Astyanax mexicanus: one gene and its partner. The protein of the gene in region 2 purifies or fractionates together with the protein of the main gene of each other region. This does not show direct contact. Links are inferred from orthologs where the notes say so. Each region holds a gene or a part of one and is shown on either strand. Other genes may lie near its edges.

Region 1 (17,652 bases), on a different chromosome or scaffold from region 2:
TTTTTATACAGTCTCTGGCTACCCCTAATCACCACCTAGTGAAGAGACCTGCTGAAGTAGAAGTTCCTTATAGTGTCTCTTAAAATGCGCCTTATAGTCCAGTGCACCTTATGTATAAAAATAGACCAGAAAATAGAAGTTTATTGATAGTGCGCCTTAAAATCTGGGATGCCTTATAGTGCAAAAAATACAGTAAATGCAGAGCAATGCAGACACACCAATGCACAAGTATAAATGGTCACAATGGTGAAATACAACAGTGTAGGCCAAAATACTTGACATGGTTAATGTGGTATAATAACTCTTTAAATACGGTGAAAATGATCAATATTCACACAACAGAAACCTTATTTCCAAACTGAGACATAAAACAATTAAGTTTCATGATCAGAAAACCAATTAAATATGCATGTGACATTTTGTTTTAAAAAAGCTCATTTAGAATCACATTGATCCTCAGTTTTGCCTGGTTTAGTTGAATAATAAAAGCCACACCGCCGCAGAGAGGTTGAGCCTGAACTTCACTTTGCATTCTGCTCTCTCACCTTGTCCAATTTGTCCACAGTTGAACAGATGGTGCGGAACTTGTCATCTGGAACTCCACACACTGCAAACATCCCATCCAGGATACGTCTGTCATTCACCTGTCATTCACACAAGATGAATATCAAAAATGAAGTGTGTGTTATTTTAGTTACGTTTCTCCAGAGAGAAACTACAAAGGCTAATTTTAATGACCAAACAAGACAAATGAAAAAACTATGTAAATTAGATTTTCCTTCAAATTATCACCAAGTTGCTACAGTCAGCTGACCTTAATGTGGAAGTCTCCCAGGTCCAGTTCACTGAGGATCTCGTAAACGATTTTCAAACACTCTGCATCCGGGATCATCGGGTCGTACTGACCTGCAATGTCGAAATCCTAAAACAGGGTATAAACGAAATATAACTTAGGGCATGAATAGAGTCAAAAGCTCAAAACACACAGACTAATCTACCTAGGAGTAGTATAAATATATATATATATTTTGCGGTTTTCTTATTTCTTTAATTTTTCAATTCAGACAGCAATGAGCTTGAGCTACATGCCAAACGTTGTGCCAAAACTCATGGGCCACTAAAGCAGAGAGCACTGTTACACCCCTAAATATTATCCATTTATTGATTCTCCAGTGTTATAATATAATGTAACTAATACAATATATTTAGTATATTGCAAATTTCATTTTCTAACAATAGAGCACACTCTGTATCATGAAGAGGATACAGTTAAGTCATATCTTAAAGACAGCAGCTCTCCTCCCTGGTTCTTAAGGTCATAGATGAGTTTGGGGTCCTGGCCCCATATACCACCTCATGGAAGCAGTAATGCCAACACGGCAAAAGTCATGGGACAGAAAATAGTATAGTCTCCAATGTCTTTTGCCACATTCCATGTTTGGCACATCTAACCTGCATCCAGTTTTAGCTCGGTTATGCCAGTCACAATAACAAAATTCTCAGGACGATATATTGTCCCAGAAACTATTGCGATAAACGATAATATTGTCATTTTAAAGCACCACTATAGAAAATGTTTTTTTCCTGCTTCTGGGCTCCACAGAAGACAATGTGCCAAAGTAATAAAATAGTAGCATAATAATACTATTATAATATTACAACACTATTTTACACCATTTTAATTTTTATTATCAAGAATAGACATTGGGTTTCTAATATAAAAAAATATTTTAGTATCCTAAATAAATAAAACAAATAAAAAGTGCAACCACCCTGGGACTCTGAGTTCTGAGACAACTGCACTAAATATTAAACAGACCTTTATAACTAAAAGTAACAACAAAAGATTAAAGTAACGTTTACGTTAAGTCAATATAATAATATATTTAATATATTATTTCATTAATTCATATTTAGTTATGATCTATGCAGCTCTACTCTTAATACACAGGTATAAACAAACTGATTCTGATCTGTGTTGTGAGCTAGAGGCCTGGGTTTCCTCTCAGCTCACATGAAATGTCTGTAAATGAATGGTTGAGCGAGCACCGCAAGAAACACTCTCTCTTCCGTTCAATATGATCCTAATATAGTACAATGTTTCTGAGCAGCTGAGCTGGAGTCAGTCAGCTCCCCTGTATCTAACCACCATTACCACTACTGGAGTGTGTTTCACTGGTGTGGAACTGGGAAGTAGAACCGGTCCCTGCAGACAAAGTGAATTATTCCTGACACGGTTCTGCTCTGCTGGGAGCTCAGGCCAATCACAGACTGACACATACATGAACATGTGACAGAACTGAAATTAAAAACCTGCGATATAAACACGTCAGACAACGTGTGTTAGTGTATCTATAACGTCACGGTACTCACACACTGGTAAAACTCCCTGTAGCGGCCCCGAGTCATGGCAGGGTTGTCTCTGCGGTACACTTTAGCGATGTGGTAGCGCTTGATGTTTGTGATTTTGTTCATGGCCAGGTAACGGGCGAAGGGCACCTGAGCGGGGAGAAGATAAGGAAGCAGAACAGCAGCAGCATCGAGTAGAAACAAAATCATGATCAAATATAAAAAAAAGCTATAGTTACTAGAGGTGTAACAAAGCATCACAACATGTTGCATTGTGATGAAAAAAATGAGATACAATTTTATATTCTGTTTAACAGCAAAGATCATAACCATGCTAATGCAGTCCAAAGAACCAATGGGTGTAAGCAAAGGTAGAGGATGTGTCTGGCTTTGACTCTCATTGGCCAAGAGTCACGACAGATCCTCCACACAGCCCTCACAGGCCAAAAGGAACTGGAAAATTGGAAAAGATTTCCAATAATTTAGTGGACTGATAAATAAGATTTTGATTTTAAATGCAAATCAAAGTAAAATGGAATTTAAGTAGAGTAATGAATTATATTTCCTTTCTATCTGACTGCTTAGACAATGATAGTTTCACTCTAGATTGCCTAAATAAACAAGTGATTAATTTACACTTAGAACAGTACAAGGAGCATTTAAACAAGGTGCACTGTTTATACACTTAAGAAATATAATGTGAGAAAATCTGAAAAATTATGAATCCAGGATCGTGAATTGAATTGTGAGCAGAGAGCACTGCTATACCCATTTAATAGATTCTCCAGTGTTTAGTATGAAGTATAATGTAACTAATACATGATATTAAGTATATTGCATATATTTTTTTCCACCAATAGTACACTCTCTGTAACATATAGAGGATACAGTTAAGTCGTATCTTAAAGATAGCAGCTCTCCTCCCTGGTCCTTGAGATCATAGATGAGTTTGGAGTCCTCGCCATACTTCCCCGTCAGAGTTTCCTATGAATAGGGGAGAAAAGAATAGGTTAGGTTAGGTTAATTTTATTTTAACCTAACGTTATTTACAGCGCTTTACACCACTACTAAAAATATAGATACTCATACAAAAACAGACATTATCAGTGTTCCGTTTTTTTTTTTTATTATAAGGTGCACTATCAATGATTGGCTATTTTCTGGTCTATTTTCATATACAAGACGCACTGGATTATAAGCCGTATTGTGCAACACTAATAAGCAACAGATTTACACAGATTTCTCTCCTAAAAATTGTTTATTTGGATAAATAAAGCACTCCTGTTAATTTACAGTAAGCTTACATTTGCAGATTTCCACTAAGGCTAGCCACGGTTAGTGGCTAATGCCGCGCGACAGAGCTACACTGAGGAACCCTGAGTGCTCTGGTAAGCCCGGGTGATATTACCTAGTGGTTCGTCCCACGTAGCTTGTTTTAACACGGTAAACACGCAGACTACAGTCCGATATACTGACCTCTGAACAGCAAAAGAGCTAGCACTTAACGGCTAATACTGGAGGACTAAACTAAAAATGCTTTATAATGCAGCAGAGTGGCTTTACTGCTCCTGACTGGTAAAATTCATACATAGGGGGTAACAGATTATAATGCTCACCTGACTTTTTTGGGGAAAATTAAAGGATTTTAAGTGCACCTATCAATGCGAAAAATACAGTAATTAATCTACACCCTGTCCAGTAGGTGGCATATATAGAAGACATATTTGCATTTCACATATGCACACAAACTGGCGCAGAAGGCGTTCATGCACGATGTTGTCTGTGTCAGGCAAAGATGTGCACTACTATGATTTTACACGTTTGTTATGCTCACACCCGTAATCCTGACTATACCAGACTTTTGGTCTGCTGGGAGCACTTTAGTTAAAACTGCATAATAAAAATGTACTGTATTAATTATTTAACAATGAATTTCAGTGTAAATATATTATTAAAAATTAAAGTCCAAATGATGCATAATAACAGATTATATCAGAATTTTTACATAGCTGTGCATCAAAATAAAAGACAAAAGGAAACTCTTGATGAACTTGGTGCTCTGGTGTATAGATGAGGATACCTTGAGCTCAAAGACTGGGGTGTCGATGGTTTCAGCACCATGGCGTTTAAAGCAGCTGATGATGGTGTTGAAGACCTTCTCTCTGATGGCCATCTGTTTAGGGTTGTAGTCTCTGGTCCCCTGTACACGAGCACACAATCAGAAAGATCACACAAACATAAAGCATGTTAAAACAGGTGATAAACAAACACCTTGTATCACAGATGGTCCTACCTTGGCAGTTTTGAGAACAAATGTGTGTTTGCCATCGTCTCCTCCGAGCTGTGCCTTCAGCTGTAGCAGTTTGGCAACTTCCTCGTCAATCTGCAATATTAATATATACAGTAGACAATATAAGAACTGATTTGAAGTTAAGGACATAATCTATAAAACTCGTAACAGCTAAACAAGGGTGGTAATTAGGGGTGTGTTTTAAAAAAATCTATTTTGGGCGCCGAGTGGTCCAGCGGTCTAAAGCGCTGCCACTATGAGCAGGAGGTCGCAGGTTCGAACCCCCGCTCATGCAGCCTTGCCATCAAGCTGCCGGCGCTCAGAGGCTGGGTGGGTAGATGGTGCTCTCTCCCCACATCACTCCCATGGTGATGTCTGCAGCACAGGGCGTCTGTGAGCTGATGTACCGGAGCCGAGCCGCTGTGCTTTCCTCCAGCTCGAAAAGAAGCAGTGGCTGGCTTCACTTGTATCGGAGGAAGCATGTGTTAGTCTTCACCCTCCTGGTGTGTTGGGGCATCACTAGTGATAGGGGGAGTCCTAATGAGTGGGTTGGGTAATTGGCCGTGTAAATTGGTGAGAAAATGGGAAAATTTTGAAATAAAAAAAAAAAAATCTATTTTTCCTTTTAAATCAATGTTCATTTGAACCATCCAATATCAATTTATATAAACCCGAGATGGATTCTTAAAATTAGCCAATTTTCTGAGTATATACGTTATACGGTTTTAAGGTCTCACGTTTTATCTCGCGAGACCATCCTTTTTTCGAGCACCGCCCTCTGACTGGAGTGATCAGTTAAGCAGGGCTGAAGCACGAATGACGGCACCCAGGAGTCGTCACTGCGGGGGAGTTTCTGTACAAATGTAAGAACTTCTGTATTTCCACTTACTGCTGCATGTGTTTATGAAACTAGTACATTTTACACTGTTTTAAGTTGTTTTCCAGTGTTGTTTGCGCCTGTACAAAAGTAAGACCTGTAAAGAAAAGTAAAGTAAGACGTGACCGGCTGAAGCTACCGTTAGCCGGTTTAGCTGATTCACCGGTTCACCTAAATGCAGCTGGTGTGCTAAGCTAACCCCAAATAGCATGCTAAGCTAAACCCTGCTGGTGTGCAGCATTGTCAGGCAGTTGCTCAGTGCAAAAGGTTTAACAGATAGATGTAATAACTGTAGATTAACCTGTATCTGAGTTACTTAAAGTGTATTAGATTAACTGTTAGACGGAGTAAATGTAGATTAACCTGTAACTCAGAGACTGAATGTGTAAATAGTGGAATTATGATGGTGCTCTCCATTAATGCTGTTACTCTTCAGATTGTTTTGTCCACAGGGATGAACGCCATTACCAGGCCGAGGAAGAGAATCTTACAACAGGGAAGACAAACTCAGGTCAGATCGGCTGGAGGCAGCGCTAGCTTCTTTTATGAAGAGTATTTTCTTTGAATTTAATAAAGTTTTCTCTCTTTTTTTTGAAGCATGGTATGGTTTTGTTTTATGTAACTAAAATGTCAGTATATATGTTTATACAGTGTGGCTGAAAATGTATTTGATGGAGCACCTTTATTCCAGAGTCTGCTCCACTGCTCAATGCTTTGACCTTTATATCTATAGACAAGCTGTGTTTATGTGCATAACTATAACTACTATAACTTTAACTACTATGTGCATAACTACTCCAAATCTATATCCAGATCCATTTATCAGTACACAGTACAGGCTGTGTGAGTGTGCACAGTAAAAACAGCTCTTTCTTACCTGAGACACAGTCATTCCAGAGAGGTAGCGCAGAGAGCGGAGGCACGGTACAGCATGTCGTCCAGTCAGTCCAGCACAGAGACGCACACATGCCAGCCCCAGAGAAGCCATGTTTCAGTCCACAAACACACAGCACACAGTTCAGGAACACAGCAGCACAGTCCACATATCAGGAGGCCCCAAAAAGTCAGTGCACACAGCAGAGGCCCAATTCCAATCCCAGTCCAGGGGAATGAGCCGGCAGTCCAACAGCAAAATCACAGCAGCAGTTCCAACATCAATTCAGCGGAAGATGATGAAGACGATGAAGGTGATGAAGATGATGAGCCCAGGTATGGAGGCAGTATCCGCAGCAACAAGCAGGAAGAACAGGAGAAAAGTGGTGAGCAACCCTATCACTAGGGGGCCGCGGCCCACAAGCGAGGCATGAAGCAATGAAGGGAGCAAAACATGAGAGCATGGAGTCAAAATCAACTGGACACTAAAGCTTCTGCTCTGACATTATTATCAGAATAACCACACACTCACATACACACACACACACACACACACACACACACACCTCCTCTCAAATCACTTTAACTTAAAGAAAGACACTTTAAATGAAAATGGCCCAAATGTGAAGCAGAACAAGTGCAAAGACAAAGATAAAAACATGATCTATAAAAAAAATCTCCAAAACTGCAACTTTCCATAAGATAAAAAAAAAACTTCTTCGATGTCAATATATTTAATTCTAGGTAAAGCTGGACAATATATTGATATTTTATTGTATTGAACAGACAAAATGCATATTGATTATATCACTTGTACTTAAAGAACATTGATCCTGACACTGAGTGTGTAAATTCCCGTTAAATTAGATGATGTCCAGCAAAAATTAAATAAGAATCCAATGAACTGTGTACTACGAAAAGCATTTGAATAACAGAACATAAGTATCTGCCATGGCAGATGAAAATATGATTAATACGGTGTATAGTGAAAATGTCTTTAAATATTGTGATACAATTTTTTTTAACATATCATCCAGCTCTATCAGTTTGTGATTACTTACACAAAGGGCTGTGGCTTTCAAACTGTTCATATCGATATCAGAATTGTATCATGCCAAACAAAAATAAGAACTATATTTTAAGTGTTGAGTTTATTGCCATTGTAGGCAAAGAATGTTGCTGTGTATGTGTCAGTGTTTTAGTTGAAGGCTTTTTACTATGCCCCAATCACTGTTTGTTACAATGTCTTATTGTGTGTTTCTTTTTTTTCATGTTGGTACTCGTATGTGTTTTTGTAAGTGTATCACAACCTGTGCTTATGTATAATACATAATGTATTTGGGGTTTATTTGGAAAAATAAATAAAAATGTTTCTAAAACACTTTCTGTATAAAAAATAATTATGCATCTTGCTATTTAGCTTCAGTATAGTCTTCAATATTACATTTACAACATTAAGATAATAAACATAAAGAAAACAGAAACAGAGAAAATGTGTGTCCATTTTTTGACTGGTTGCTAGTAAATAAGTGTTTAAATAATACTTAACTCAAGACAATATGTGCTTTGTTTGTCTACTATGATTTGATGACAGTTCTGGCTCTGATATTGCGTCAGCTTGACCCAGTAAACCATCAATATTTTAACTGTACATAAATAAAGTCTTAAACTACATTACAATAACAAAACATGTGCTAGCTTTGCTTTTGTACACGTGTAGCAACGAAGCTTAACCTGATGCCTTATTGTTTTTACAATAGTTCCGTTCCACCTTAAAATTTACAGCGGTAACATGCGGCACCTGCGACACAATAAGAACGGAAACCTAGGCGGCAACTGTAGCATTTAAGGTGGAACGGACAATTCAAAAAGGCGATTCAAATCTGAAAAATTAACATTAGAAGGCTATTATAAACAGTAAAACAGCCTCTTTAAATGTGAAAACTGAGGCTGCACTGATGATATCTGCTGTCAGCTAAAGAACATGTACAAAAATGCTGATTAATGATACAGAAGGCCACAGAGACCGGCACCAGGTTAGCTTAGCATTAACTAGCACATGTAGAAACACAGGTAAACGAGGCCCGTATTCAGCTCTAATAACAGCAGTATTTAAGCAGCGGCGGCTCGCTCACACTGACCTGATCTTTACTCGCTTTATCGCTCTTCAGTTTCCTCACCACCTCCCCCTGAACTTTAATGGCTTCTTGAATCTGCGCTTTATCCGCCATGGTGCTGCTCTCTCAGCTCCCCGCAGGACCGGTCCCTCACAAAAAACGTCACACACGCACAAACCACGTGTACCCACTAACATAATACTCATGTATAATACTAGTGCATCTAAAAAAAAATAGAATATCATTGAAAAGTTCATTTACTTCAGTAATTCAGTTTAAAATGAGAAACCTATATTGTATATAGATGTCCTACACACAGAGTGATCTATTTAAAGACTTTATTTATTTTATTATTGACGATTATGGCTGACAGCCAATAAAAACACAAAAATCAGTGTCTCAGGAAATTAGAATATTATATAAGATCAATTGGTATTTCTGCAGTGTGGGCAGTGTGCCAAGTCCTGCTGGAAAATGAAATCCGCATCTCCATAAAAGTTGTCAGCAGAGGGAAGCATGAAGTGCAGGAAGATTTTGTGGGAAAACAAAACTGCACTGACTTTGGACTTGATAATAAAACACAGTGGATCAACACCAGCAGATGACATGTCTCTCCAAACCATCACTGATCATCAGTAAATTTTGCACTTCATTTGGAAATCAAGGGAGCAGAGTCTGGAGAAAGAGTGGAGAGACACACAGTTCAAACTGCTTGAGGTCTGGTGTGAAGTTTCCACCAATCAGTGATGGTTGGGAGAGACATGTCATCTGCTGGTGTTTTTTATGTTAAAAATACTATGTTAAAAAAAAAATATATATATTTCTCAATCAAAAAAGGTGGAAGCCTTGTGTGTTTTGTATTTTATTTTATTCTATTTTATGATGTTTTTTTCCATAAGTGATGATATATGTTCCACAGTCATGTAAGGTGTTTATAACGTTTTTTAAATATATAAAACATCAATTTTATAAAGTTGTATTCCTTTTACACAATAAGGGCAGAATTTGCCCTGTTTATCCATCAGAGGGCAGCAATTGCCCCCGTTTGTCCACAATAAGATAGTAATTGCCCTGTTTGCCCAGTAGAGTGCAGTAATTTGGTATTGGCTCTTTCTGCAGCACAAAGCCGCAGATGAAGCGGAGCCAGAGACTCTCTATAGAGAGTAGATTACCCGCTTAATAATGTCTGCTGAGTTTGTTTAAATGAATAAATGCAGTTTAATGCAATTTTTTTCAATTGAGCGAAATCAGAGTTTATTAATGTTTAAAAAATGTATAGTGAAAAATTTGAGTAATTTACAGAGCCCATAAGGTGACATCATGTAAAAAATATATATGATGTGTGGCCATGATTTATTAAAGTGCAGGAATGTGATCCTAACGCATGGAAATGAGATAAGTAAGGCGAGTAAATAAGATAATTAAGTTGTGACCACGACTTATTAAGGTGTGGGAATGAGATCTGAATGTGCGGCCATGACTTATTAGGGTGTGGGAATAAGATCCTAACATGTAGCTATGACTTATTCCCACACATTAATAGGGACGACTAATATAGGTATAACTAATTTCCATGCCTTAATAAGTCGTGGCCATACCTTAATTATCTCGTTGTCGCACCTCAGTTATCTCATTGTCACGCATTAATTATCTTGTTCCCAAGCCTTGATGGGTACGATTTAATTAACTCATTCCCACACCTTAATAAGTTGTTTCCACACATTAGGATCTCCTACACCTTAATTATCTCATTCCCATGCATTAGGATCTCGTTCCCATGCCTTAATTTTTTTGTACCCACACCTTAGGATCTCATTCCCACACCTTAATAAGTCGTGGCCATGCATTTTTTTAACATAATATCACCTTAGGGGCTCCATACTAATTTTCTTAAAACAGAACAATATTAGCTACATGTTTTATCACTGAGCTTTTAAACTCCAGCTATAAACCTTTTATCTCCAGCATCAGCTCACCAACCAGTCAATATACATACAGTAGCAGTAATGCTAGCACTTTTACTGCCTAAAACCCGTTTACTGAAGAAAACCTAAAATATATAAGCAGGATATCTTTGCTCTTTTAGTGAAATGCATCATTGTCATTTACATAATTAAAATAAAATTCTGGAGAAAAGGTTAGTAACTGTTTGAAATTAGAGTTTTAGCCGTTTAGCTTTATTCACCTCCATTCATTTTGGACTCTCTCGCGGGCTCCTCCTAGCGGTTGCAGTGTTTACTGCTATAACAGGGATATGGGGAAGTGGTAGTCTGTCTAGAAACGCCGGTGCTCTGTCATATTGTTCTACCCATCGATATGTGCTACTTACATGCACTGCGCATGCGCTGATACACATTTTCACAGGCTTTTTTTTTTTTACATATAATAATGATTTTCCTTTTTGTCTTTTTCCTTTTCTTTGCTACAATATAATTACAGTCTAAGCTCATAATGTTGTTTAGTTGCGTGATTAAAAATGGTTAATTTGAATTTTTAAATGAAAATACTTATTATTACTGTTATTTTTTTTAGCTATATTATCCACCTAATACAGTGATTTAGCAGGGCTTATATTTAGCTTAAAACGCTCTATTTACTGTTTTATTTCAGCAGCTTTAACTGGATCCACATTGTGGTAGCACGATTCGACGAGGTAGCACATCGCGACACAACACCGGTGGCTGTGGCGGAGGGTCATGGGGTGTGGGCCCGGCTGCTCTGGGAGATAAACACGGATATTAATCAGGGTTTAATGTAAATGAAGTGGATGTAGACGGATTTAACAGACTGCAGCAGTAAAAGGTAACCTGATTAATTATCTCGTCACTGCCTCTAGCTCAGGCTGGTGTGACTCTGCCTCTGTTAGCTACCTCTGTTGATTAGTCTGTGCTGACACTGCTCTAGTTTCTGCAGTTTAACAGGGTTTAAACCTCTCTGTAGTGTTTATCAGTCTTCAGCAGGCTCTGTTTAATAATTCTGCTAAGTTAAAAGCCATAGTGTTAATATTATTAGCTGTATATACGCTGTTTGTGTATCAGGGTGAGCTCAGCTGACAGGAGGCTGGTTAGCTTGCTAAGCTAGCTCGGTGCACTCAGGCTAGGGCCCTCTTACTGTTTACTGTAGCTAAACTCTCTGAAATTTGAGATAATAAAGAAGACCCTGCAGAAAATCACCTCTTATTGTCTCTTTGGCTGCTTAAAATCCACGCAAGTCATTTATTATTGTTTTGTTAGAGTTTTATTGTACATGTTGTGAGTTAGCTAGTTAGTTAGTTAGCTAGCTTAGCTACTGAGTGGCTAGCTAAGCTCTTTTAGCTCTTTCAATCAATTAATCAATCTATATTTTATTTTAAAAGTGCATTTTAGTGTAGCCGAGTATTTGTGAAAAACAGGGATTGACATGACAAAAAATAGTAACTACATCTAATCACTTATTAGTGGAGTTCTTAAAACTACCCAGCTGTTGAGTCCCAATCCCTTTAGTTCCTTTTGCAGTGAGTGTGGAAATGCTCTTACTTTCACTATTAAACATATCCTGAGTTCTAGTTTTATTTTTCTACAATTTGATTTCACCAAACATTTATTTTCATTCAGAACGTTTTTCCTACAGCATTTCTTCCTAGAAGATGATGTTTCCCCACTGTCCTTCCACATTTTATTAATGCATTGGACAGATATTAACCAGATTTTAGTAGTGTCAGCAATCTCCTTATACTGTCCATACACTGCACAACTTTAAAAAGACTCTGAAAAGACTGTAACAGACTAAAGTCTTGACACCCTCTTACATCTAAAGACTAGTCATAGTATTTTACTCACTTGCTAAAACTTTGCTAAGACTGGGGATCACTAACTGCAAGACCGCAACTAATAGATTCTTTCTGAGATTATTTTCCATCATGCTTATGGTGGAGTTTACATACAATACATATTTTATATCATCAGTTTATTTTTCTGTCGCAATGTTAATTCTTGATATTTTTTAATAGAATACATTTTGTTTTTCACTCGTTCTATAAGCTTTTTTTTATTATTATCCCCCCCTTTTTTTTTGCTACAACCTTGTATAGCAAAGAATCACAGTTTCATTGCTATACATTTGCCTTTCTTTTAGATAGAAGTAATGCAATAAAAAACACCAGTCTTGCAGAATGTGTATTTATTGAACGTGTTTGTATCAAAAATTGTACTGCACAATAGATCAAAGTAGTGCAAAATATAATAACTTTCAATATGATGACATTAAAGTGCTACCTGTGCTTAAAAAACTGTACATATTAACTTCAACCCGTAAAATATTCTTGCATTGCGGCTTCCCATGGCTCTCCTATTGGTTGTTGACATTGTTCGAGTCATTATTTGCGTAAGCAAAGTCTCAAAACTTACTGTAATAATGAACAGGGTTGATTTTATTAGAGCTTCAGGACGCGAATCTGACTTACTAAAACTTTTAGTCCTAACCACCTAACACTGAAAGATTGAGATGACGCTAATGCAACTCGACTCTAGCAAGACTCGTGATTTTATCCTGACTCTTAATATTTGGAAATCTTCGACAGTAAAATCGCTTGAAAATCGTTAGGTGTAAGGTCGGCATTATATGTTTTCTCTGCTTGAGGCATGCCAATAATTTGACCCTTCTGAAACAGATTAACATCTTTTCCATGACGTTTATTCAGTAGCAGCATCATAAGTAAAATAATTATTAGTTAATAATTATAAATAAATATTCTGTCATTAATTCTTTATTGCATTATTAGTTTTTTTTTAGTTCCCCTCTTGAACGGCCAGTTCTTGGTAAGATGAGTCCGACGCAGTGGGATCTCCCCCCAGAGCTGTGCTGCAGGCCAATGGCCTTCGTGGCTCTGACCGGTCTGGATGTGGTGTATAACGCAGTGCACAGAGCCATATGGGACGCTTTCTGTGCAAACAGGAGGGCAGACAGGGTGCCCATTTCCTTTAAAGTCCTGCCAGGTGACCACGAGTACCCGAAGTGTAGAACTAAGGTAAGAGTGGATACTTATTCCACCGTGTGCTTATTTTTTAAGTTCATCTATCTTTTGCTTTCATGACAGTGCTGTTCATGTTCTTCCAGAGGACCTCCTACGAGTGGTACATTCCTAAAGGCATCCTGAAGACAGGCTGGATGAATAAACACCTGAACCTGGTGCCTTCTCTGGTGGTGCTGTTCTATGAGCTTGACTGGGACGATGCTCAGTGGAAGGAGAAGCAGTCGGAGTGTGCCACTAAAGTGGAAATTGTCAGGTAGATATTAATCTTATTTGATTTTGTTTTTAGAAATCCAGCTTCATGCCAAACATGAAATACATTATGTATCACCTTAGCTCAGGAAAGGGCTTGTTAATTAGCTAATCAGCTGGATCAGGTGTGTGGGGGGAAACAGTAAACACTAAAATATTATATATACTTAATTAGATATGTGGCAGTTAATATGACCTAGTCAGGGCTAGTCAATATGAATAAAAAACTCATGTCTTGATATGGTTAAGAGGAATGGCAATATACTTAATACAATATGGGATGATAAAAAAAAAAACATTAAAAATGTTAATTTAGTAATTGTAACAACAAAAATAATCAGTTAATATCTAATTGTGTATTTAAGTAATATACATTGTTTATTATACCACGTTTAGATCCAACACTGCAATTTGATTGGCTGAAAGGTGTTCTGTTAGTGCCGTTATCAGCCGGTAATGTGCTGTAATCGAAATTCTCCATGTATTACTCCGCCACATACAGGTAACCTAGCAATGATGCAGCGCCTACAAGCCAAAGAGCGCTGCTACAAACAGAGCAGCAATGGAACCATTTTATCTCACTTAATTTTTTTTAACCAAATTTGTATTAGTACAATCTTGGTTTTATAAATGTATAAAACCAAGATTGTATTTTCTCGTCCTCTTTAACTCAAACTTTAACTTTCAATAAACAGTGATAATGGAACTGTGACATATAGGGTTGCAACGGTATGAGATTTTCACGGTATGATAACCGTCTCAGAAAATACCGCGGTATCACGGTTATCACGGTATCACAGTTTGTTACATATATTATTAAACTGACCCTTAAAGAAATTACAACAAAGGTTTTTTGTTCAATTAACTATTTATTGTAGAAACCTGGAACAACTATATAGATAATGTCTCCTTAAAAAAAATAAACTGTACACCATTAGGTGAAGGAAACCAGGTTTTTCCACTACTCTTAAGGGCATTAAGGGTGTATATAAAAGATCCTGTATTTAAAATATTCAGTACAATTATTTAAATTTAAATTATTTAATATTTGATAAACTGAGCCTGGGTCAGTGTCTGATCAACAACTGTTGTAAACGTCCGTTTTACTGCCAAGTTGGTATATAACCAGATACTGCAGAAAGAGGGGATTTATTTCTGACATGATCCTCACAATAGATATTTCTATTTTAAGGCTTTCACACAGAGTCTGGTTTTAACACATGAAAAACAGGCACGTCAGAATTTGAAAATTAACGCATGTAAATGAATGGCGTCTTTCACATCCAGTCCGGCCAGGACCTTTACACGGACACGTGAATCCATCGTAGCACGCACTTCACGCCTGTACCTGGGTGCCCAAATTTCGGATAACTCAGCGCTTTTGCGGGCGCTTATCGCATGGGTTGTGCACGACTACAAAGAGGTTTTATTTATGTTCAGATTAAAATTATAAACTAAACACATACTTTGCGCTGCACGGCGGGGTGGTGTTCATGGACATGGGAGAACAGGTTTGACGTATGTCCACCTTTAGCTGTGACTTTACGGCCACATTGATTACAAATCGGATAACCATCCTCGGGTGCGTTCGGCGGGTCTCTGAAATAGTCCCACACTGCTGATTTTAGTTTAGCCTTTTTTTAGGCGGACGGAGATTTGTTTAGTCTGATGCACTTTCTGCTGTTCTCACCGCTGTGTGCTGAGCAGCTGAAGCGGAGCAGAGTTGCGCATGCGCGGGTGAGTTTCTCCGCTGGCTTGCGTTTTACCGGTAATAAGCAAACACACACGGTATGATAACCGTGCATTTTAATACCATGGTATACCGTGAAACCGGTTACCGCTGCAACCCTAGTGACATAATCACAAAATAAACTCGAGGTTCGTGCTAAAAAGTTTCATATTGGCAATGCTGTGCTGATCTACGGCACTCAGTCTGCGGCACAGCAGTGCCAATGTTACACGTTATAGCACTCCCTCTTGTGTATTATTAGATTCAAGATACACTCTTGATGGTAGTTCAGTGTCTAAGTAAACTGCTCTGGATGTTGTTTGAGGTGAATTGAAGTTAGTTAATAAGAATTGATGCTTCTACAAACTCTGTTGAGTGTCATCTTTTCAGAAACCAAACCATTACGACACAAATGATCCCTACGCATCTTTTATAGGATTTAAATGGCACCCAGTTGGTATACTGAGTATCTAGTGTAAAATAGTTAAATATTTCAATAGTTACAAAATATTGCACAGCCATAGTGGCAGCATAATTCACTTGTATACAGTATCCTCTTTTATCTACTTAGAATAGCCCACATGATTCAGTGCAGGCCCTGTTGTATGAATGGATTGGCATTTAGCATTCTCCTCCAAGCTTGTTGAGCTTTGATGCATTACATTACATTACATTACATTACATTTGGCAGACGCTTTTGTCCAAAGCGACTTACAATATTGAAGTGCAAATAATAGAAGAGGTTAAGTACAAAAATAATAGAAGTTAAAAATAAAGCATCTATAGATAGGGCCTTAAGGAGGTCAGAGGGAAATAATGGGATAGAGGAGTAGAGAAGAGGAAGAAGGAGATGAGGTTAGAATTAGTTAGTTTGTTAGAGGTGTTAGGAGAGTAAGTGCTCTTTGAAGATCTCTGTCTTCAGGAGTTTATTAAAGATAGCGAGGGACGCTCCTGATCTGGTAGTAGAAGGTAGTTAGTTAGAGGTGTTAGGAGAGTAAGTGCTCTTTGAAGAGCTCTGTCTTCAGGAGTTTATTAAAGATAGTGAGAGATTCTCCTGATCTGGTAGTGGAAGGTAGTTTGTTCCACCATTGGGGAACTCTGTATGAGAACAGTCTGGATTGCTTTGTGTGAGTGTTTGGCAAAGCGAGGCGACGTTCATTGGAGGAGCGCAGCGGCCGGAAGGTAGCGTAAGCCTTCAGGAGTGAGTGCAGGTAGGAAGGAGCCTGTACTGTCATCACCCTGTAGGCGATTGTAAGCACTTTGAATTTGATGCGAGCAGCAACCGGTAGCCAGTGGAGCTCAATGAGCAGCGGAGTGACATGTGCCCGTTTTGGTTGGTTGAAGACCAAACGTGCTGCTGCATTCTGAATCATCTGTAGTGGTTTTACTACACAGGCCGGGAGGCCAGTTAGTACGGCATTGCAGTAGTCGAGGTGTGAGATTACCACAGCTTGTACCAGGAGTTGGGTGGCCTGTTGCGTCAGATGCCAATGCATGTTTTCAAATAAAATGAGGAACTACATGCTAACTGTCACACTTTCAGCTTGACTGCATGGTGTAACAGTGAGCGACATAGCTAGCGGGAGACATTGTGTAAACATCTGCTCAAGACATATGTAGTGCATAGTAGAGCCTGGTAGCCTTATGGCTCATTTACACTCATCACTAAACACAGAATAGCAAATACAGCCTTTTGTCTATACTCTGCATTCATTTTGTCCATCTTTGTACACATTCTTTGAAAGCTTATGGATGTGGATAGAACAAAGCCATAGGTCGAGCAAAACATGGCCACTGTGTTATGGACATGATGATTCATTTCATTCATTTCATAAGCTAATGTTGGAACTATTAGACACAGCCATTTATAGCTGTTTAAACCACTGCCTCTTTTGTGTTTCTCTTTTTTTGTGTAGTACAGTATTACAACCTCCATCACCATATGTTTTGGTTTCTGAAACTTTTGACTAAGATATGCCCTCTAGTGGATGTATTTCCTAATATTTCTACCAGTGTAAAAGATGCTCAGTGTATTTGTCTGCAATAAAAGCCACTGGTTACAACGTTTAAAGCACACACATTTATGTTTGTATGTAAAATGATTATACATTAGCCTTAATTTCTGAGTTAATTTTACTATGTAATATTGGCCTTCTT
Region 2 (16,878 bases):
ATATTTACATCAGCAGTGCTTTTCTAATTACATATTTACCTTGGCAGTGCTGTTCCAAACATGACTTTACCTCAGCAGTGCTTTTATAATCGTGAATTAACCTTAGCAGTGCTATTCTTATCATGAATTTACCTCAGCAGTGCTATTCTAATCTCAAATTTACCTCAGCAGTGCTATTCTAATTTTATACTTACCTTAGCAGTGCTATTCTAATCATAAATTTACCTCAGCAGTGCTATTCTAATCACGAATTTACCTCAGCAGTGCTACTCAAGCCATATTTGAGTAAAATATACACAGATAAAGGCAGACAGACTTTTGGTACAGAAACAAATGCTAAGTCTAATTTATTTAAGCAAACATTACTATTTCAGGCTGTGCAGCTTGTACATTTCAGCTAAAAAACAGCCATTGTTTGTAAAGGTAGTAAACATGCTTTATTTTGTTTAATTCATGCACCTACAGATGAAAACAAATTAACTTACACTTGGTGTCTGATGTCTGCCAGCTGTCTCCCTCACTCACTTCCTGTAATCTAATATTATAGACACTCAAAATAAATGAGTTCTGTATAAATTATTCAATTTTTTTTTTTTTACTTTTCAACTAAATAATTTTGGTTGCCAAATGTGGTGCATTCTTAGTCCAGTTCCTAGTTGTGGGACTGTTTCAGTGAACAGATGGAGAGGGGAAGATAGACAAGCTGAAACTCTTGCTTAATTCAGTCCTACAGGTCTCAGCACAGTGCCAAAGCTAATGCCAGCAGTGCTACAGTTACCTAGCCATGACCTCCTCCCTCCCTCCACCCCTCTCTCCCTCTACACTCCAGCCTGTTGAAAGAAAAGTGCTGACTGGGAATGATACCGCACAATCTGTTCACTCTACCAATGCTCTACTGAAGGGGGAAAAAAGCAGTGTAAACACAGAGGGAGGAGGCCACTGTGTATCTGCTACACCCTTATTTCCTGATGCTACATGTTGTTATAGTTAAGGCAAGCAGAGAATTTACTGGTTTGTTTAAAAAAAGAAAAACAATGTAACAGAAGAACTGCAAAACCAGCTGATTTTTGTTCATTTGCACTATAATCTGAACAGTTAAAACAAAAGGTCAAACAGCAGCACTTAACCAGAACTATCACCAATAGGTTCGGTACTATACTATCTGGAAAAAAAAACTGCTCTATACTAGGCATGCATTTATTAATTTTAAAATATTTGGCAGAAAATTACAAATACAGCAAGTACTCACACCGATTAAACTAATTAAAGCGTTTAGAATCACTGATCATGCTCACTATTAGTTTACATCTTCTCCACAAACAGTTTTCCAGCTTAAAGTTACGAGCTGTACAGGGCTAGAGTTGGTGATTTGAAGGAGGGGGGGGGTTTGGGATAAGCTAGACAACTGCATAACCGAAAAGAAGCTAACTATTGTTCAGCACCTCCAGGAACTATTCCAGGTGACTCTACTTCACGAAACCTCTGAGAAAATAACAAGAGTGTGAAGATCTGCCATCAAAGCTAAATATGTCTACTTAAAAGAATCTAAATTCTAAAACATATTCTGGTTTGTTTAACACTGTTTAACAAAATGTTTAATGTCTTTAATATTAAATTTACAATGTAGCAAATCATAAAAAGAAAACAAAAAACACACTGAATGAGAAGTTTGTGTCCAAACTTGTACTTGTACTAACTGGTAATGTACATGTAACTTGAGTCGCACTGCTGAGGTAAGTTTACAACTAATTGTGCACTGTTTTGTGCACGGATTTGTGATTAGAATGGCACCACTTGCCACTTATATCTAGCTAGCTAAATGTGACTAGAATGGCACTGCTGAAATATATAAATGATAAGAATAGCACTGCTGAGGTAAACATGTTATTAGAAAAGCACTGCTGAGTTAAAAATATTGTGCTTTAAAAAAATGTCTAGGTTGCTAACTGAAGGACTTTATTTACAGCAGAGAAATCCAACCGAGGTTCAGAGTAATTTGATGTATCCTTCTCATCTCTCGGTTACCTACAAATATTTGTGTATGTAAAAATACACTAGCACAAGGACAATTGGCCAAAATGATGGAAAACTAAGCAACCAGTGTGGAGAGCCTTGTTAGACTGTTCCATATGTGTGACCAGCAGTCCTACTGAGGACCTGTCCCCTACCTCAACACCAGCCTAGGCTTTGTGTCACAGCTTACAAAAAGCCACTGCCTGTACAATCCTTAAATACCACCCCCACCCCAAGGCCCGTCCTTCCACCTCTTTTATACTAAACACAATTAGGAAGGTTATTTCCATTTGTAATGGACTTCTATAAACCTCTTTTCTAGTTAGTTCCCAGTTTTAGGCCTACTTCCTCCTAAGTCTAACCACTCAGAAATTTCATAACAGTTGGCCAATCTGTGGTCTGCCGTAACTGTATCTGACTGATCAATATTCAGGGCCCTGAAACGGACTTAAGCAGCACTGGACTGATTTACTATATTACTCAACCCTGCTCTGTTTCCTCATTCTGCAGTCCACTTTCCTTTCCTCGATTGCAAAACTACACCTTAACTTCCTCCTCAGAGACAAAGCACCCACAGCCTCAGAGCTGAGAGATATGACATGATAATATAACAATGGATGAAACTGTAAAACTGGAAGAATCAATGGGCCTTATTCACCAACTATTAAAAAAAAACAGATGCACAAATAGGAAACCTTTTAGCTAAATCTGAAACAGAAAACAATTAAACATTTGGATCAAGAACAAATACAGAATAGTTTTTTTTTGCAGGTTTACGTTAAATTTGAATTTTCTTCCACCACTGAATACATTACATAGCCTAAATGAATTTACCTCAGTAGTGCTATTCTAATAACTACAAATGCTCCTCAGCAATTTCAAACAGCAGTGCTCTGATATTCTGCAATAAAACATAATTAGTCTAATAAATTAGCCCTTTTACTTTTTCAGGTGAACAGAAAAATCTGTTTATTCACAGTTTAAATATATATTAGGGCTGGGCGATATGGAAAAAAATCTTATTACGATATAGTTTTTCATATCAGCCGATATCGATATGTATCACGATATAAATCAAATCACTTTCTGTTACACTTAAAGGTTTCTATTTTTACTCAGAAGTGACAGAATAAGGGAGTTATGGACAAAATCACTAGCAGGCTCAGAGCCTTGTGGACAGACACTAGGATGTTAACATCTTGCCAGGTGGGTACAGCTTTTAAATTAATTTTAAAAAGGGGACAAATATATAAACTAAAAAATATGTAAGACCCTTTACATTATATGTCTGTTTAATTTAAATTGCAATAACACTTTATTTATTTTTATAAAATTATATTTAATCAAAAGATCATTCCCCTCCCTGAATGCAGGCAACTACATAAAGCAAAATACAAGAGTATATCACAGTGTTCATTTTGACAGGTGATTTTGATACAGTCTTAGTCTTTTCACTAAAATGTATAATAGTTTTAGTTACATTTTAGTCTATCGGATATTATTAGTTTTAGTCAGATTTCAGTCTAGTTTAATTTTGGTCATATAAAAAGTATGTATTACATATGTTTTACTGTTTTTCTATTTTCTATTTGTTGTAATTTTAGATAATTTACTGCTTATGTTTTTTTTTAAATAAGAGCCTTTAGTTTTTTTTTTCATTTAAATTAAGCTAACATTTAAATATTTAAAAAAAAAAGTGGCCTATAATGGAGGTGGGAGGAATAAAGTCAAGTTTCTGAAATGATCCACTTCTACTGCAGTACAGATTTATACTAACATTACTGGCTTTCAGTAGACTAGACTTACATTACTTAAGTGTATTTAAAACTCCAGTTCAGTAACAGCAATGTTTAGCTCAGTTCAAATACAGCTAGACAGATTATATAATCTTCTGTATTTAGTAAAATATCCAGCATAACAGACTCTCTATCTGTTAAAAACTATAAAACACAAAGACAGAGGAGAATGCTGCCCTCAGGGTTTTCTAACAGAAACAGTGAGAGTTAGGAAAAAAGATGGAAAGTGCTTCCTTTCTGTGTGTTTATATACTAACCCCTCACTCGTGCTGAAGTTAACCTTAATTTACACGAAACGTGGATTAACACGGCTAACGTGCGTTACCCATTAGTTTATTAGAATGTAAAAAGCAGTGAAAGCATCTTAGCTAATGATGACAGATTGCACAGATCCCTTTTACACCTAAACATCGCTAACTTTAAACTGGAGACAAGCTAATCTAACTAGCAGCAAACAGAGCAGCGTTTACCTGCCTTCAGAAATCTGAACAAGCTCACCTCTCTAAATATCTTGGAGACGCATGCCTCATATTTAAAAGGTGAGTTTTCCAGTGTAGCGCCGCTGAATAGTATAAATGAAGTTTATCCAGTAAATGGGAGAGAAGGAGCCGCTATGTGAGGAGTTCAGAGTGGAGGGGCTCGGGGGGTGGGGCGGAGGGGGATGGTGGAGAGGGGAGGGGAGGGGTTGTACTGGGCTGAGCAGCAGTTCAGCGTGCTGCCTGATCTCGTGCTGCGCCTTTTCACAACGCTACTTAAACGGGAAATAGAAAATTTAGTTTATCGAATTTCTCGCCCCGACTTATCGCGATATATAGTTTCCTCGATAACTATCGATATCGTTTTATCGCCCAGCACTAATATATATATATATATTTTTTTAATTTTGACATTCCCCAATGTCTTCTTATTTGGGTAGGCCAATACCGGACTATACAGTGTCTGACTAATAATCGTATAACTGATATAATTGTCATTTTAAAGCAACTTAATTAAGGTGTTGATATAATGATACTTATACATAAATAAATGTCCTCACAACTGCATACTTGCACAGTGGGTAATACTGCAGTCAGCAAAAATGACTGAAGTTATGTCCATATATTGTTCTATAAGCTGATAATGTGATTACTGTAACAGACCTACAGTGTTTGGGAATCGTTCGGTTTATGAGGACAGTGAAATGATCATTATTAGAGCAGAACAATCCTACATTTCATAAACACGTCACCTTTTGAATAACTTATGTACAAAAAAAATGAAAGGCAGCGATTGATGAATGAGACCCAGTATAAATAAGTTTTAGATTTTGGGCCAGAACTCCTTGTAGCCAAATTAGGCCAAGTTTAGAAACAAACTAAACAACATCTTCCGTTTGCAAAGATTAAAAGAGAAGCACATCTTAAGCAATAATAATAGATCTTATGTTGGAAAACCAGGCGATTAAGATTCAATCCTTTATAGGTACACTAACACCATCATCCCCCCATTACAAATTCTCACTCACCGAGGCCCCCATGATGATGAAGATGTGCACGTCGGAGTGATGAAACTCCACATCCTCATACAGCTCTTTTCGCAGCTCCCCGAACACCTCCGAACGAGAGAGCGGGAGGGCGCTCATCTTCTCTGTAACAAATAAAAGAGTTAGCTTTTTCTCACCTTTCTAACTTCTTTTACTTTTACTTCTTTTTACACGGCAACTTGCCTACATGCACAGCTTCTTTTACCACTTTCATTAAATATGAACCAAAACTAGTCATGCACTAAAGTCAAGAGTTTGCCAAACCCAAAACCAAACAAAATTAACAGTTTGTCTGAAGGCCAAACACAGGATACTTAACAAATTTTTCAGAGGTTTTCATTCAATTTGCAACTTTTGTTTCACCACAGATGAGATGAATAGCCTAAAAGTATTTTTGTCCCGATTTTCAACGAAAAAGCACTGACAAAACTATCTTAAAAACATTTATTAAAGATCTAACATTTTGACATCCCAGTTAGCTGCGATTTAAATGCGTAATATATCGGTTATCACAATGTGTGCTGACGAGCACTCATATTATCACAATATATATCCCAAATCAACAAAATATTGCGTCCAGTTTAAGTTCATTTGCATTAACTTCATAATATGATAATTACTGAACAGAGTAACCAAATCAATGTATTTACTTACAGTTGGGTAATCAGATAATGAGGCAACTCAGAGTTCACTTAAGTGAGGCAATAATCAGATTTTTGCTTTGCAACCAGCCAATAAACTCGCATAATAGACGTGATGTAAACATCACACAAAAGCTGCAATATGAACATGAATCAGCTAAAAGATTCAGTATCTCTCCAAAAGTATTTGGACATCATCTTACAGGTGTTGTGTTAAACACTGCTCGCTTATTTTTGGAACCACTGTCTGTTTTCACATATGCACGAAATTCAAGAATACTCCACTTAAGAGTTTAGAAGCACCAAAACTCTGATTACTGAGCTAAAACCCAGCTACCTTAATCAGCTTATTCAGATGTTTAGATCTTAATCCAATCTATGAAAATGGAGTATGCTGTGTATACTGGAATACACAGCATACTCCAAATAATCAGATAATAGTATTATAATAATATACATGGTAGCAAGCTCACACAGCAGCTAACAAGCTAAATTTATGTACTGCTCTCACAACAAAACTTCCCTTGAATGTGTTTATTTTTTAAAGGTTTAATTCCAGACTTATGTGACGGTGAAATATAGGAGTGGATTATTTACTCTTCGACTTTACATAGCAAAGCTTAGGAAAATAAAGCAAAACGACTCATGAGGAACATCTGCATGCTTGAATCTGTAGAATGAAGAGACCACCAAAGCCCACTTCCCAGAAAGAGAGGCGCTGATTGGCAATAAGAGTGAGAAAATCTAAAATTCTATAAAAAAAAAATCAAATCATTAGTATGAAGATAACTAGTAGCATGCGCAAGAATACAGTATTCAGGTACCAATATAAAAAAAAAGGAAAGACGAACGAAACACAGCAAAGAGATAGCGGTAAATATTCCTTAATCTCAGCTGTTTAGTTCCTTACCCCTCCTATCTCCTTCAAAAGACTTATGCATCTGCCAAAAGCAAAATACAGTATTATATTGCTACTAACACATGCACAAACATGCTATAGGGCTGGGCGATATTTATATAATATATATATATATATATATATATATATATATATATATTTTATTTTTTTTTTCCAGCTGAAAATAACTTAATAATAAGTTTTATTATTTTATTTTTTTTACATTTTTATACATGCCACATGTATAATTTCTATTAATATTAATGTATTTTTTTTTGTTCAGGGGAGTCACAAGTGTGCAAGCATTACAACACTTGTATGAAACCAATATCAATACAAAAAATTAATTTAGCTATTTTTTAATAATAGCAAAAATCACTTCCACATAGAAGAGTTCTTTACAGGTTTCTGATAGACACAAGCCTATATACTGAGATTCCCTCAGACAGCTTCTATAAACATCTCAATTACCCCTTTTTAAAAACTTGCATTAAAACAATAAATGGATTAATCAAATTAATTCAATTTACCACCCAGCGCTATTACACACACTTTACTACACACCAGTCTAGCTGTACCTGTGCATCTACCTCACACACAAACACAGGCCTACCCAGCTGCCCTCCAGACACTTTGCTGGGCTCTTCGGTGGCAGTGCAAAACAGGGACAGACACAACAACATTATAAAAAAGCCCATCCTCCTCCCATCTTCTCTACAGTTATTAACCCAACTAAACCCCTTAGCTAATACTTCTACAACATATCATTACTCCTGTGTTATTAGCCAGTATATATTATAAGCCGTTTTAGTCTAAATAAATTCATATATATACTGAAATTCCCTTAGGCAGCTTTTATATGCATCTCGATTACCCCTTTTTAAAACTTGCATTAAAACAATAAATTGATTAATCAAAGGAATTCGATTTACCACTCAGTTCTATCACACACACTTTACTACACACCAGTCTAGCTGTACCTGAGCATCTACCGCTAGGGCTGTGACGATAATTTTATTACCGCAATACCGCGGTTATGGGACGTCACCGCGGTGATGAGCTCATTACCGTCATTACCGCATTTTTTTATGGCTGTCAAATCTGATTGACTGCGTTTTGAGCGGTAGTAAAATGCTCCATATAAGCACAACTGTGGTGAATTCAGTATTAATATGTCAAGTGTAAGTCCTACACTATAGGGCTGTGCAATATATCAAATATATTTTGATCGCGATAGATATTGGTGTCAAACGATCTCAAAATTCATAATATCGAATATAAATTTTTTTGTCATTTATCTGTGCTGCCGCTGCACTGGCGCGGCAGCGAATGGGTTAAGCAAAACGCGGTGCGTGGTACTCATTGAGGTCCTGCTCACTTCGTCTCCATTGAGGCTGCTGAAGAGAGTGAAGATTAGCAGCACTAATATTGGCTCGGAAATGGAAGCTACAGGGCAGGCTCAGTAAGTTGAGAAAAAAGGAAGAAAAAGACTCAGAACAGAAGAGAATCATCTGCAAGATTTGCCGGAAAGTGGTGTCTGCACCTCTCGCCAACACATCAAACTAATTCACCCACCTCAAGGTAAACCATAGAGCCATGTAAGGTGTTCCGTGGTCACATTTTGAGAAAGTAAAATATATTAATTCATTGTCTGGCTGCTGGCTGTTCTGCGTGAGCACCGCGGAGAACGCGCGGCATTGCGCCTCAGTCTTGGTAAAAATAGTAAGGTTGGTTGAAGTGTAGTTCAAACAGCAAAGCAATGATATAAAACTATAACCACCATCTTTACTGAAATGTTGTTATCTGACCAAGTCTGAGGTAAAATGCGCTGCGCCTTGTCTCTTTCACAGCACGCGGAACTGAGTTCAGAACCGCTACAAATATAACCATATGAAACTCAGTTCAGATAAATAAACTTCAGATGAGTAAGGACACGTAAAGTGAAACAAAAATTGTCAAACATAAAGGACAGGTTTCTATTATTTTAAAATGGAACTAATGTCTTTTTTTTGGTCGGTTGTCTCTTGCGAGCCGATTTCTTAACGTCACGACATTTTAATCAACATATTATATGACGCGGGTCCCGTCAGGATATCTTGCGGCACAGACAGAACTGAATTGTTATTGGCGGGAACAGGAGTTTAATCAATCCAGAGGATGTGGGAGCACATTAATAAATAGTTAAGAAAATTGTAATAATCACGCAGTGATTCTCATGCACGCAACAAAAAAAACCCTAAGCACAAAAAAGGAGCGGAGAATGGACCGACACGCGCACACACACACCGATTTTTTTTTTGTAATGTGGTAAGAAACGTGACCGCGCGCGGTTTTAATAAATATTTTTTTTAATTTTAAGCACTAAATGTAATGTATTAAATTTATTTAGGACCGCGGGGCAGGTGCGGCAAAACTGTGTATGTGGCGGGCTGATGCGGGATTAAAAGAAGGATTTTTTTTGCGGAACGGTAACGGGACAAAAAAGAAATGATGTCTGAATTAATTTCCTCCAATCGAATATAATTTAACATGGTTTAAGAATATAAAATAATTTATAAACAAACGAAATATTTAATATTGAGCTAATAGCCCAAGTGCAAAAATACAAAATCTGTAATACTCTGCACTGCACAATTCAAACGAAATAGCCGTAACGCAGCTGCGCTCCTGCCCTGCGATGCAGCCGAAGCCTGGTGTGAGGCAGCAGAAATTCTGGGGTGAAAACTACATAACATCACAACATAAGGAGACATAATGCACTCCAAATATTCAGGAGGGAAGTGAAATAAATGATACTGTACAGATATAATCTGTATCTAGTAGATATTTAATGAGAAATAAGAAGAGTGTGAATAAAAAAAAAACAGACGCCTATCACAGACTTCTTGAGCCTTGAGCCCGAACGGCCCGAGGAAAGGGGTGAGAAATATATTTTTTTCGGGGCCGGGGGTCAGTGGAAAATTTTGCTGTGGATTAATTCGTCTTTTTTTTTTAAACGAATATTAGAATATTCGCTACCAATTACTGCCGAATATCCTGAGCTCAAAACCGCTATTCGGGCCAGCCCTAAAATAGATCTATGGATGGAGAAGGGGGAGGCGGACAAGCTCCTCCTTCAAAAAGTCTGCACGGAAAAAGACAGGTTAGCTGTACAATGACGAATTATACAGGCAGCATATGTTCACTTGTTATGCTGTATTTATGGTTTATGTAGAAGTTGTATGTAGGCTGTATGGTTTGAAGAATAAAGATTTGTTACCAATAAATTTGCGGTGTTTTTTTTTTTTTTTTTGGGGGGGGGGGGGGGGGGGTTGTGGTCTCGCGGTTAACCGCAATATCGCGGTGATGCGTTAGTTTTTTACCGCGGTTATAAAAAATCAATACCGCCCCAGCCCTATCTACCGCACACACATACACAGGCCTACCCGGCTGCCCTCCAGACACTTTGCTGGGCTCTTCGGTGGCGGTGCAAAACAGGGACAGACACAACAACATTATAAATAAGACCAGCTAAACCCTTTAGCTAAAACTACATTGGAGAATATTAATGTATTTGTCAAATGATATGTGGACCTGGTGAGAATTACTGTGGAGATAAGCATGTCATAACTGTCACCAGTTTTTGGACTATAAACTATCATTTAAAACTATAATTTAAGATTCATTTTAATATTTAGGAGTTAGAATATAGTAATGTTAAAATATTTTACACATATAAAACATTAATGGGCTTTTCTTGCTCAGAAAGAACAATGATTAGTTTAGGTTATAAAAAAAGTATTATGCTAATATATAGTACAATAAGTCAATTTGTTTTTTTTATTGTTGTGACAGGCTAATTTTTGTGGACATATCAAAATATATAATAACTTTATTACTAGGGGAAATAGCAGATTTCTGTAACTAGATTTTGTTTATTGAAAAATGTCATTTATTGACAACAGAGTGAAATTGCATGTAAATCGACAGTAGAATAGTATGCTTAGTCAGAATGTTTTACTAGTAAATATGAAGTAGCTGATATATAAAATAATTTATAGTAGATTAAACTACATTACAGATATCAAATCAAATCAGAGTACAGGTGTACAGGTGAGTGAAAAACCTGGGTGCAGATTCCCACAGAATACAGAGAACAATATTTACAACAAAGCTGAGAAGAATAAGTATAATAAAATAGAAAGTATACAATTAACTTAAACAATATACACAATAACTTATAACACTGTAGACATATGGTACTGCAGTGTAGATGTAAGGTAAAATATAAGTGAATATATAGATATTACAATCCCAGATAACCCTACATGTGCAAATAATCTATAGAGTATGTGTGTGAAAGTGCAGAGATAGATTGTCCAGTATGTAATTTAGATGTATGTCATTTTACTGCTAAAAACACTGAGTTACGACTGGTAAACTAAGTTATTTTAGATTAACCCTATCAAAACCTGCATCCATTAAAATTAACATTATGTATTTATGTTTTGTTGCACACAACACTACTTGACAGCTGTTGTTCATCAGAATAGACCATTAACCAGAAAAAAAACAGTAGCACTAGAGCTATTGAGGCAAAGGAACAGCTAACTGTTTCTAATTTATTGTGATTCAGAACACTTTTTAATCATGTTCTTTTATTGTTTAGGGATTATTTGTGGAACAAAAGGTCAAAATGAAATATGAAAATGTTAAACATTGGCTTCCAATGCGATGGAAATAAATAAATATATATATATATATATATATATATATATATATATATATATATATATATATATATATATATTATATATTATTTGCTATAAATATTTTATAATAGAATATGAGAGTTTCATTTTCTGTGCATTACAGACCGAAAAGAGAATTCTAACATTTGTATCCATCACTGGAGATAAATCAGGTCTGAAAGGGTTAATAGTGTTTTTGCTATGGAGCAAGTGCCCCTCAGTGAACGAGTTTAAAAAGCTAGAGTTAAAGCTACACCTGAAATAACGTTAACCGATATTACTGCAGCTAATTCGGTTTATTTGCACTGGTGTAAACACGGTGCAGGTAACCAAACCTAGTTAACAGTTAGGTTAACTAGCTTTAGTTGGTTAGCTAGCTTAGTTAGTTAATTAGTTAGGTTAGCTAGTTACGAGTTACAGAGTTAAAATCCTGTGTCTGTAGAATATAAATTACCTGTTAAACGTGTAACGTTACAGTTAATCTAACTAGTTAACCTAATGTTAGCTAACCGAGCGAGCAGCAGTTTACCGGTAACTTTGGGTTAAATCAGCAGTTATTTGTCGGTTTACCGTGAAGTTAGAGCTGCAGGCGGTGTAGTTAATAACGGTAATCTGCACACAGCACCATCACACAGCTACTCACATCTATCTGCTCCCGGTAAACACGGAGAAACGCGGCGGAGAATCGCGGCGGGAGGGTAAAACAGCGCAGCGGAGGGCGGAGAGCTGTGTCAGTGAGAGAGAGCTAGCCGCACATTAGTACCCGAGCGCTTCCTCGTTCACCGGTCCCGTCGTGACTCCGCGGAACTGCGCGATATTATTGGTTTAGACAGAAACTCACCAGCACTCGCTCCACTTCCCATCCCGGCTCTGCTCCGTGACGACACGCTTACTACACTCTTACAGGCGGAGCGGTGGGCGGGGCTACCAGTCAACAGCAGGCGCTGCGAGCCAATCAGACACCAGGCACCAGGATCAGGATCAGGACTGACAGGTCAAGCCAACACACCCAGCACGTTAAATCAACGTTCTTATTTTTTAATCTCTGTAATGCTAAAAACAACAACGTTACAGCCCTTTCAGACCTGAATTATCTCCAGTGATGGAAAAAAATAATTATTAATAATTATTCATAAATTATTCCTAAACAGTTAAAAACATTATTAAAAAGTATTCTAAATCACATTATTTTAGTAAAAATCAGCTGTTACTTTGCCTCAATGGCTCAAGTACAACTGTTTTTGTTAATGTTTTATTAGTTTATAAACTCGTTCATTGGCTGGTTCATTGTATTTTCTGATGAACAACAGCTCTTAAATAGTGTTATGTGCAACAAACATTTTAAAATAAAGAAAATACATGATGTCGAGTGTAATGGATGCAGGGTCTGAAAGGGTTAAATCGTCAGATTAAAAAAGTTTGAAAGATTGATTTTAGTTTATTGAACATTAATTCATGGCTTCATATATTTCATATGTGTGCTCTGTAATAAACTTTACATTAAACATGTACAGCTGCATCTAAAAAAAATTAAATATCATTGAAAAGTTACTTTATTTCAGTAATTCAGTTCAAAATGTGGAAATCTATTATATAGATAAATTACACACAGAGTGATAAATTTTAAGCGTTTATTTATTTGATCGTTTAAAATTAGTCTCTCAGAAAATAAGAATATTATATAAGACCAGCTGGTACTTTGGGTAGTGTTGGCACTGTGCCAAGTTCTACTGAAATGAAGAAATAAAATCCGCATTATTATTTAAATAAATACGTTTTTGCATAATTCAATGTTCTTTGCTATCCTGGTATTGCTGTTCAACTCCTGTCGTCTCCTGCTGGATAAAGTAAATATTGTAGCACACAGTGTAACTTTAGGAGGTACTCAAGGCAATAGTGGAAAATCCAGATCCAGAACGTAAAAATCCACCCCAGGATTGTGTTTCACCTGCCTGGTGCAGAACAGGTTTGCAGCAGAGCCACAATCCTGGAGTGGATTTCTACTTTCTGGACCTATAATTGGCACCTCTGCTAAAACAACAAATATTCTTATGGAGGGCCATTTTTAATACGTTTTGTCACAAAATAAATATAAATCTGGGTTTACAATTAGTGTTTATATGCAAACCAACCCTTCCAAATCTGTTCATATTCGCAATACTGCATTTATCTTATTATTTAATAAGCCCAGCTAACAACTTTATGTTAGTAGACGGTTTAATCTGGCAAGGGTTCTGAATGTTCTTCAAACGTTTTTATTAAAAAAAATATATATGTTCTGGTAACATTGCTGCAACATTACTTTTAGTTTTGGGCATGGTAGGGCATGTTACTTCCACCGTTTCCGTAATGTTAGCACTCATCTGTCTGGCAACGTTATGTGATAAACAACTTATTGTTAATACTATAATACATTTTCAGAATGTTACTGTAATGTTATTTCTATAAACTTAACCTTCCTGGAACCCCAATACCAAACTAGCACATGCCTCCTCCGATACATGTGAATTCAGCCACCACCTCTTTTCCAACTGCTGTTGATGCATTACGACTCGATTCCGATACATGAGCTCACAGATGCCTTGGGCTATAATTGTAAAGGCTGAGTGTTTTTTTTTTTTTTTTTTACTGGTATTCCATGTATTAATAATGTAGGTTCAGGTAAGGTGTGAAATGTTTGTCTAATCTACCATGGAAAGTGTTAGTAGCTATTTCATTCACCTCCCTGGGTCCCCATGAGGTAAGCGTAATTGGCTTCATAGCTTCATTCACTGTGTTTACATTACATTACATTACATTTAAGTGCAATACATTTGCAATAAGCCTAATAAAGAACTAACTTAAAAGAGCTATGCTGCATCATTAGGATCTTTACACCTTCTCTTCCCTATACCCAGTTCTTCAATAGTCAGGACCCCACAGGACCTGTACACTCTTGAGTTTTCCCATTATCTGTTTACCCAAGTCCATGTAAAAACGTTGATCAGATTACCGACAAACTCTGCAGTAACGTTCTGTAGTAATGGGATTATGAAGTACATGTAAACAAACTCAGTGATTAAACAGTTTGCCATATGCCTATAGCAGGACTTTCCTCAAATCCCCACAAAGCAAACACACATGGGCATGTTTTCAATTTCATTTGTTTGTTGGCTTACACAAACTTGCCCAAATGTTTAAAAAAAATGCACAATTTATGCACACTGTTTTGCAAAAAATAACTTTATCTTTGAACTAGACATACAGCAGTAAACAGGATGATCACAACAAATCCACAGGACAGCACAAATCGTAGCTCATTACAAAATCAATCCATTAACATAATTTCTCATTTTAACAAACTCAGAACCAGACTCCGATACTGGTCAGCTGAATGTCCAGTGTTGGTATTTGTCAGCAGGATTGCAGTTCTTCATCACAGCTTTACCACCCTCTACTGTTAGACATTTCTTAAACACCTCACACTCCAGGAGACAACACTGGAAACAGACAAGGACACGTGAAGTGGTCAAATTTAATACTGAAAACTTAAAAATCTCAATCTCAATCTCAAATGATTTAACACTGTCTACACCAGGCACAACCAAACACAAAAATAACCAATTAAACCACCTCTTTGTTTTTTGGACTTTCTGTAGATCTTATCCACTTCATTGATCCTATAGGAGCACTTTGTAGTTCTGTAATTACAGACTGTAGTCCTGTATCTGTTTCTTTGTATATTTTATTACTATCCTACATTCACCCTGATATTTAATGGTTTGGACCAAACAGGACCACCACAGAGCCAGTCAACCCTATTTGGGTATTGTTGGCTGGATAGAAATGATGTGGGTTTAATGAAATAGTTGGTTGCTGTATCTACTGTACCTGTGGTGAGAGGAGCTTTAAGCTCCACTGCTGCTGTGGCGCTGGCACAGTGCTGCCACCCCTGTAGTTGCACAGCTCAATGCGGACAGGCTCCGGTGCAATCGTTGCATGCAGACACAGCTGCAGCGCAGTGTTGTGACGCAGCTCCTGACGACTTGTGTATTCAAAATGCTGTAGAATTAGAGGGGTGGAAATTTAAGTATTTAACAGATCTGGACAATTTTTTACTGTACATAAAATTACCTCTCCTACTATCCTACAGGTATCATATATATCTTTTTGTAAAAAATACTAGTGGTGGCAACCAATTAAATAAATTAAATATGATTAATCACACATTTTCTTCCTGTCCACTGTTGCAAACAATTAGATTTGTTTTATTGGTGACAATACCTTAAATTAAATAAATAATTGGGTAAATCACAACAATATTTTATCATGAATAAAACCATGATTACTTTTTTAAATGCTGGTTCTTAACTGTATTTTTAAGTAGGGAACAGTACTGTAATATAATATCTCAGTGTAGTTTTACTGCTTTTTAAATTAGAATATTGTAATGTGCTGAGTTGCTGAGTATAACTGAGTCTTTTAATGGAAAAATATTGTGATATTGCAAGCAAGGCATATACTAATCTAATTTTAGAAAAACAGGATTATTGTTTGCTACTTACTATTAATCATTACATCTGAGTTAAGAAAAGTTACACTTTATAAGCAATCAGAACAGTGTGCTTTGAAGACAGAGTACAACACTGCAGTAAATTACACCACAGTAAATTAACCACTGACACCAATCTTTTCATGTAAACTATTCGTAAAACATCAATACAGTGTTTTTGCAAATCTAAACACTATTGCAATACTTCAATATATTAATATTTTAAAGACACTAAGACAGATCTCAGGTTTCAAAACATGAATTTCACAAGACCTGTGAAGGCATCTGGCACCAAAATGTTAGCAGTTTCAAAATTGCTTAGGCTACATTTACATTACCAGGCTGAAGTGACTCAAATCTGATTTTTTTTGCTCAATGTGCCTCAGATCAGATTTTTTTATATGGTTGTGTGAACTACTACAAGTTGTCTCTCAAACATGTTTTTTGTTGTTGGTGAAGAAGAGAACGATTATAAACGTATCAATGTGCAAGTCAGGCGTTTCAGGGACAGATTTTTTCACATTACACACAGATACAGATCACTAACATTTGTGAATGTGAACAGTCACGATAGCCAAATCCAATCGGAGCAAAAAATCAGATTTAAGAAAGATAGCTTAGGTAATGTTAACAAAGCCTTAGATCCTTACACTTCTTCCTAAAACAAGAAGCATATGTTTTTCACTTCACCCATAAGCATTGGTAAGGCTAACTTGCATACACTGCGAGTTACACAAAATGATTCAG

The links.
Region 1: the proteins of g6pd (region 2) and hars fractionate together in Homo sapiens (co-fractionation; 3 studies listed by BioGRID). This does not show direct contact. The link is inferred for Astyanax mexicanus from reciprocal best matches to the Homo sapiens genes G6PD and HARS1.

What each region holds. Positions count from the first base shown.
Region 1 is NC_064409.1:70,907,364-70,925,015, reverse strand, and holds the start of hars (histidine--tRNA ligase), read right to left. Parts: upstream 8,668-17,652; 5' UTR 8,621-8,667; coding exon of another isoform or gene 8,531-8,620; intron 6,792-8,530; 5' UTR 6,505-6,791; coding exon 6,394-6,504; intron 4,733-6,393; coding exon 4,643-4,732; intron 4,550-4,642; coding exon 4,430-4,549; intron 3,334-4,429; coding exon 3,238-3,333; intron 2,500-3,237; coding exon 2,374-2,499; intron 923-2,373; coding exon 815-922; intron 645-814; coding exon 546-644; intron 1-545. Other genes in the region: trappc11 (trafficking protein particle complex subunit 11), read left to right, coding at 13,308-13,511, 13,601-13,770. UniProt on the Homo sapiens protein: Catalyzes the ATP-dependent ligation of histidine to the 3'-end of its cognate tRNA, via the formation of an aminoacyl-adenylate intermediate (His-AMP). Plays a role in axon guidance.
Region 2 is NC_064420.1:16,496,695-16,513,572, forward strand, and holds the start of g6pd (glucose-6-phosphate 1-dehydrogenase), read right to left. Parts: upstream 7,673-16,878; 5' UTR 7,569-7,672; coding exon 7,484-7,568; intron 6,929-7,483; exon of another isoform or gene 6,914-6,928; coding exon of another isoform or gene 6,883-6,913; intron 5,436-6,882; coding exon 5,314-5,435; intron 1-5,313. Other genes in the region: polypeptide N-acetylgalactosaminyltransferase 6, read right to left, coding at 14,966-15,079, 15,471-15,641. UniProt on the Homo sapiens protein: Catalyzes the rate-limiting step of the oxidative pentose-phosphate pathway, which represents a route for the dissimilation of carbohydrates besides glycolysis.